Linked DNA regions of Tribolium castaneum. The protein of the gene in region 1 purifies or fractionates together with the protein of each later gene. This does not show direct contact. Links are inferred from orthologs where the notes say so. Each region holds a gene or a part of one and is shown in the gene's direction. Other genes may lie near its edges.

What was found.
Region 2: the proteins of kibra (region 1) and Mer purify together in Drosophila melanogaster (affinity purification with western blotting; 3 studies listed by BioGRID). This does not show direct contact. The link is inferred for Tribolium castaneum from reciprocal best matches to the Drosophila melanogaster genes kibra and Mer.

Annotation. Positions count from the first base shown.
Region 1 is NC_087402.1:5,113,846-5,117,128, forward strand, and holds the end of kibra (protein kibra), read left to right. Parts: coding exon 1-997; intron 998-1,052; coding exon 1,053-1,242; intron 1,243-1,302; coding exon 1,303-2,312; intron 2,313-2,368; coding exon 2,369-2,519; 3' UTR 2,520-2,604; downstream 2,605-3,283. UniProt on the Drosophila melanogaster protein: Regulator of the Hippo/SWH (Sav/Wts/Hpo) signaling pathway, a signaling pathway that plays a pivotal role in organ size control and tumor suppression by restricting proliferation and promoting apoptosis.
Region 2 is NC_087401.1:7,792,577-7,796,890, forward strand, and holds the start of Mer (merlin), read left to right. Parts: upstream 1-1,408; 5' UTR 1,409-1,528; coding exon 1,529-1,627; intron 1,628-1,678; coding exon 1,679-1,808; intron 1,809-1,855; coding exon 1,856-2,067; intron 2,068-2,112; coding exon 2,113-2,550; intron 2,551-2,597; coding exon 2,598-2,834; intron 2,835-4,314. UniProt on the Drosophila melanogaster protein: Regulator of the Hippo/SWH (Sav/Wts/Hpo) signaling pathway, a signaling pathway that plays a pivotal role in organ size control and tumor suppression by restricting proliferation and promoting apoptosis.

The DNA of each region.
Region 1 (3,283 bases):
ACAAAGACCGACTGCTCCTCTTCCAGGAAAAAGAACAGCTTTTGAGGGAGCTGCGGAGTATCACTCCTCGAATGCGCTCGAAGGAGGAGATGAGCGGAATCCAGTTGAAATGTAAGAGACTGGAGCAAGATCTGAACAAAGCTTTCGAGATGTCCAACCGGGCGATAGCCGACCGGTTGCGACTCCACGAAGAGAAGCAACTGCTGCTCCAACAACTAAGGGACGCTTTACGCCAAATGACCCACCTGGAGTCCCACCTGAAGACGCTCTCGGCGAGCACGCTATCAGTCAGTTCTAGTTCTAGTCTCGGTTCGTTATCAACAACTTCAAGCAAGGGCTCCCTGAGTTCGGGTTTAAGTTTCACGGATATTTACGGCGGGCCGCAGTGTTCCTCCAATCTGGATAAGCCCATCGACATGATGGACCTCCACCGACGAGTTGAGCGCGTCCTCAAAGTGAAATACTCGACCCCTTCGCCGTGCCGCTCCCAACCGTCCTTGTCCCCCCGTAGTTCCCTGTCTTCAGTGTCGCCCCCTGTGTCCCCCATGTACGAAAACCTCCCATGCGCTGTCCCTCCCCCAACGTACGAACAAGTCGAGCGTGACCGCCAAGTGCAAAGACTGATCGAGGAATTGGGACACGAACAGCCCCAAACTCAACCGAAATTGAGTCGGTACTCGTACGAAGGCGACCCACCCTTGAGCCCCATCTCGGAGACGCCGCCCCCCATTTTGGAGCACGACGGAACGGCGCTGTCGCGGACGTCGTCGTCGGGGACCAACACCAGGTCGGTTTCGGCGGCGGTGAGCGACGAGTCGGTGGCGGGCGATTCGGGGGTTTTCGAAGCCTCAAATCGCAAGAAACTGGTGGAGCAAGACGTGGAAACGGCGCAAGTTCAAATCAAGTTGAGGTATGCCTCCGGTGAGAGTATACTCAACGTGGGGGTGGAACGAGCAAGGAATTTGGGGGCGTTGTACATCGCGGAAAATGCCCAAGTGTAAGTTTCCAGTTTTTTTTTTTTTGATTGTTTGAGGCTAGTTTGGGGGTTGCAGGTTTGTGAAAATCGCGCTATTGCCATCCGGGACGAGCACCCCCTCTGTGTATTGCACCAAGTGTGTGAAGGACTTGAAGAAGCCGAGCTTCGGCGATGTTTTCAATATTAGCGTACCTGCGAATAAAATTTACACGAAGACGCTGCAACTGAATGTTTGGAGTAAGACTGAAGAGCAGGAGAAGTGTGTGGTGAGTTTTTCAAACTGATAATAAAGGTAGACAAAAATATAATTTTTGTTTTGTTGGCAGGGTTGTGCTCAGGTGAGTCTGGCCGACTTTAACGTCCAGCAAGTGTCCCAAAAATGGTACAACATCCTGAGTTTGCAACTAATCGACACGCGGGAGGACCCAAAATCGGCCCACAACCGCCAAGAGTCCGACCCAATTGACCCATCAACGAAACCCTCAGTGAAGGAAGAAAGTTCGGACGATTCGACGATAATTTCCTCGCAAACCTCAACTCTGACGCGAAACCAAGACCCTCTCAATTTCCTCAATACTGTAAACTTCACCCTTGAGGACATTTACAACTGTATGGACCGCGAGAGCGATGAAGAGATTGAGGAAGAGGAGGATGAAGAAGAGGAGGAGGAAGACGTGCTTGAGGTACTTGAGGAGGAATTCGAGCCGTTTTCCGACAAGCAAACCAACACCGAATGTGCCTTTTACCCCGAACACGCCAAACAGATGAAAATGGCCGCGGCCGGTGCCTCACTGGACGACCGGGGGGTCATCAAGAGGTCGCAAACCTTCACCCCAAGTGCCCACGTGAGCAAAAACCAATACATTTGCAAGCTGAATCGGAGCGATAGCGACAGCGCGATGCCTCTGTACCGACGTGGCGGCAAGCCTTTCGAGCGTAATGCCATCGAGAGGAGGTCTTTGAGGTTCAGGAGGCAGTCTGTGGCCTCACGGCCGCAGAGCCATCTCCCGACCACGGCACGGACGTCCCTCGACCTGGAACTGGACCTCCAAGCCCAACACACGCGGCTCGATTTGTTACATTCGGAGTTGAACAGGTTGAGGGAGTTGAAGGCGAAGCTGGAAGAGGCGAAAGAACGAGGCGATTCCGAGTTGGCCACTTATCTATTGGAGGACGAAAGGTTTCAGAATTTGATCGCGCACGCGGAGAGTTTCCGAAACCCGAAAACACCCGAAGAGAAGAAGGTGGAGAAGATGTTACGGAAGGTCTCAAAGGAAATTTACAAGTTGAGAAAGACGAAAGCGGGGAATGGAAAACCGGACATCATTTCGTTCAAGTAAGTTTAGTGTGTTTTTTGTTTGATTGGTGTTATTTATTTATTGTTTTTGTCAGGGAGAAGATGGCGTTTTTCACTCGCGTGAACAGCAATGTGCCTTTTTTGCCCCCCGACGAGTGCCATTCGAAAGACAGTGAACCAAGTGACAGTGCACAGTCGGGACGCTACGAGTACGTCGTCGACCGCGTCTTGGGCGTCGAAGTTTGATTTTATTTATTTAGTGAAATTGTATATTTGTACATTGTGTAAAAACGGCGTGCCTGAAAAACGTGAAATATATTTTCTGATGTGATTTCGTGCCTTTAGATCTGAAAATCAAATCAAATTTAATACTCAGATGTATTCGCTTTATACGTTGCAGTTCTAAACTGCGGTTCTTGTATGCCTGTATCTTATTTTAGTACAATCTTTTTTAACTTTGTTACCATCCCTTTTTTTCACCTAGTTTTTAATATTTATATTAACACTTGTTCGTTGGAAATTAACGAGTTTTTCGCGGGCGAGCTCCATCTTGGAATGCAAGGTCTCAACTATATTAGTTGGGTTTATCATTGTTATCAGTTAGCTTACATAAACGGTTATTTTCGTGATTTTTTACCTGTATTATATGTAAATAGTTACTTTGCGCTAGTTTATGTAATATAAAATGGTATGTTTTTAAAAAACATAAGCACATTTCTAAACACAAAAATATATTATATGGTTCTAATAAAAGTTAATAAACCAGAACGATTTTCATTTCACTCCCACACCGACACGAATATCGAAAAAAAACTATTATTTTAAAAGACTCGATTGTTTACAATTCATCCGTTAATTCACTGCTCAACAATAGTGCTAAAGGATTAGTCCCAAAGTGGACGATATTAAAAATAATAATTAATTAATTAATTTTTTGATATTTTTTTACCTTGCTTTTTGTTCAACTGACGTAAGCTGGAATTTTAATTCAATTATAAAGTACCCAAACA
Region 2 (4,314 bases), on another chromosome or scaffold:
CCATCTTGAAAATATCTTCATTGAGCAGGACCTTAGAGGTTATGGTGATATACAAATTTTCAGATGACTATCATTATTAGAACTACCATTACTTCTAATGTGGGTTTAGACGCCACACCCTGTCTGTTAAACTAAACTAAAAATTCACAATATTTGATCGAAAATAAATTTATTTTACCACTTCCGCGTCTATAAGGCCAATTATTTCGTGAAAAGTCGTCAAATAAAACCAAAAAATTGCCCAAATTAATCGGAAATGGTGTTATTGTTGTATTATGCATGTTTGTAAACTAAAAATCAATTAATTTTTAAAAATTATCCAAAAAACGCTGAATTTTTGAGCATTTTTTCAAGATAAAAACTCGGATTTTCTCGAGATTATACGTTGTTCAAAAAGAAACCCAACTGTTTTGAGAAATTTCTTCAAAAATTAATTTAAAAATGAACACAAGTATCACATATTTTGAGCGTTTAAGCACGTTTATGACTTAAAAACTCGGCCGTTCGCATGATATTATTACACTTTGTTTAAACAAAAATCCAGTAGTTTTGAGAAATTTCCTCAAAAATTAAAAAAATTAACACAAATAGCGCATTTTTCGAGCGCATAAGCACGTGTTTGGGCAAAAAATTCGGCCTTTCGCATGTATTACACGTTATTCAAACAAATACCAAATTGTTTTAAGAAATTTTTTCAAAAATATACGGAAAAATTAAAAAAATGAACACAATGATCGCATTTTTAAAGTGTTTAAGCATGTTTTTGAGCTAAACGATTGGGTTTTCACATGATATTACACGTTTTCAAACAAAAACCCAATGGTTTTGAGAAATTTCCTCAAAAATAAATCGAAAAATTAACACAAATATTATAATTTGTCACATTTTTTGAGAGTTTAAGCAAGTTTTGAGATAAAACGCGTTTTTTTTTTCGATATTAGCGTAAATCGAGTTAAACATGTTCTGAATTTGATCGAAAATGAGTTAATTTTTCCACTTTTTCACCCAGAAATGCAATTATTTCGTGAACCATGAAATCACCGAACTGAATCGAAAAAAGCTATACTTTTATTTCAAACACGTTTTTGAGCTAAATACTCAATGAAACCGAACAAAAATTAAGCCTCATAGTCAAAAATAAAATTATCAAGACCTATTCCTGATTAAATTTTTATTAAAAAGCAAGAAAAGCAATTTTTGGTTTTACAATTTATTCAAAAGACAAGAAGCTTATCGGAGATCTGTTTTACCGGCCAAATTTTCCTCTAGACTTTTGTGATTAAACTAAAATAAAACCGACAGGAGCATTATATAACATTTAGCGTTACAAACATTAAGATATAGATTGAAACCGCCCACTTGAGCCCTTTCCTGGGGCCCCATCGCCCGAAAGTCCTAGTAATTTCCCGCCATTGTGTTGGTATTCCGAATTGACATCTGTCAATGCCATAACCGAGATGTTTGTGCCTTATTTGTTGTTGTTATTTTACGGTTGAATAATGCGATAGGTTTTACAAAAGCGAGGATTATGTTAGAAAAAATGTCTCCATTTCGCAAAAAGAAATCCGAGAAGAGTTTCCCCGTGAAAGTGTGCACATTGGACGCCGAATTGGAGTTCAACTTACAAGTATGTTTACCGTCTCAATTCTCCAAACTGTGAATAATTTTCGCATTGTAGTGGCGAGCCACCGGCAGGGATTTATTCGAGCTAGTGTGCCGCACAATCGGGTTACGCGAGACTTGGTATTTCGGTTTGCAATACGAAGATTCAAAAGGGTTTATCAATTGGTTAAAATTGGACAAGAAAGGTGGGTCTGGTGCTGAGAGGGCCCCCAAAATCATGTGTGTGTTTCAGTCCAAGACCAGAGCATCCAGAAGGACCCCCACAGTACGGTGTCGTTCATGTTTTTCGCGAAATTCTACCCCGAAGAAGTGGCCGAAGAGCTGGTTCAAGAGGTAACAAAACACTATTTTTTTCTCCAAGTTAAGCAAGCTATTCTCTCTATGGATGTGTACTGCCCCCCTGAGGCGTCCGTCCTGCTAGCCAGTTACGCGGTCCAAGCCAAGGTAAATAGTTTGAGGTTAATGTTCCCCCTGTCTAACAGCCCCCAGTTTGGAGACTTTGACCTAGATACGTACAAACCGGGAATGTTAGCGAACGAGGATTTGTTGCCCCAAAGAGTCATCGACCAGTATCAGATGACTCTAGACATGTGGGAGGAGCGGATAAGAGTGTGGTACTCAGATCACAGGGGTATGTCGCGAGACGAAGCCGAGATGGAGTATTTAAAAATCGCACAAGACTTGGACATGTACGGTGTTAATTATTTTCCGATAATGAATAAAAAAGAGACTGAGTTGTGGTTAGGTGTAACACCTCTAGGATTAAACATCTACGAAAAGGAAAATAAACTACAACCAAAAACGACGTTCACATGGGCCGAAATACGACACATTAGTTTTGACGATAAAAAATTTATTATCAAACCGGTCGATAAGAATTCCCCAAATTTTGTCTTCTTTAGCCAAAAAGTTAGAATGAATAAATTGGTAAGTGGGTGTGGTCTGAGGGGGCGTGGTTAAAACAAATGTTTCAGATTCTTGATTTGTGCATGGGTAACCATGATTTATTCATGCGGAGGCGTAAACCCGATTCTATGGAACTCCAACAAATGAAAGCCGCCGCCAAAGAAGAGAAACAACGTCGGCAGATTGAACGAAATCGTCTGGCACGTGAAAAACAATTGAGAGAGGAGGCGGAGCGTGAAAGGGCCAATATGGAACAGCGCCTGCTCCAGTACCAGGAGGAAATCCGATTGGCTAATGAAGCTCTGGTAAGTTTTGATTGGCCGAAAGCCCCTCTTACAGAGTTGGGCATAAACAGATTATAATGTAGTTAAATCAATAATCTAATTACAACGTAATCGCATTACTTTTTTTCATTTACATTGTAATTAATTATGTTTTATTAGCTGTAATAAGTTAATTGATTAAATTGAACAGTAGATGATTGTTTTGAAAAATCATTCTTTAAGGAGGTTTTGTGCTTTATAAGAATTCCACCCCCAAGGGGGTTAAATTTTGTATAAAAATCTGTATTTTTTTTAAGTTATACCCATGAAAATCGTTATTTGAGTTTTCGGTTAAAAATGAAAATGGTGTTTCATTGTTTTTTCAAGTTCTACTTACAAAAATTACGGATTTTTATAGGAAACCCCCTTGCGAATGGATTTTCTACTTGTTTTTTTGCAAGATTTAAAGCTGAAAAATCATTAATTTAGATAGAAAATTACTATCTTTTTGCCTCTTTCAAACGTTTATCTGAATTTTTAATTGAAAAACCCAGTTTTTTTCGCAATATTAATAAAACAGCTCAAATTTGATCGAAAATGATTTTGTTGTTTTATAATAATAATTCTAATAAGTTATTTTAGGGCCTTTAAAAATACCTTTACATAAAAATGTATAAAACAGAAAAAACAAAGAGCAGTAAATTATGTCGAAATCTGTATTAATTTTTGTTTTTTTAACGTTTTGGAAGAACGTTTTTGATTTTGCTAAATCGACTCAAAAAGTGGGCTGTTTCGATCGATTTAGTTCGTTTTTAAACGGTTTTTAAACAATGTCGAATTAAATATAAACTTCAGATTAAAATCAAAAAACATATTTCCAACTTCGAATTAACTTGACTCTGAGGATTTTGACTTTAAATTTAACTGAAATAACGAGTCTTAGGGATGGAATTTCCAAAAATCCTAAAACATTTGTTTTTGATCTTTAACCAAAAGCTTAAATACCAATTTTCATGGATATAACATAAAAAAAACATACTGATGTCGCACTTACTCCAAATCTGTGCATGCGTCTTATAAAACTCGTAATATACTATTCTATTTGTAATCTTTTAATAAAAAATTTGCAAATTTATTTAAAATTTGGAAAAAGATAACATACTGAAACGTGAACCCAACAAAAGTTAGAGCCCAACTATTTTCGTTGTGCCAGAAACGGACAAACTAATTATTAAACACTGACCGAAAATGGAGGAAAACATTAAAAATTATAAAGAAGAATTTTGCAAAATGTTATATAGAAAAGTTGTATTTCATGAGTTTTATTACGTGTTAAAACTAAAACAGGTATTTCTAATACACTCTGTATAATATTAAGAACTGTCCTGTTATGTGAATTAACTTGGAAGGAGTTCATTGGAGTGACAATCTTAAGTGTCCGTATTGAAGATTCTCCATAATAAAACGATGTTCAATCATAAAAATGTTTTTTCTCTGATTTTTCATTATGAAGTTGTTCTAC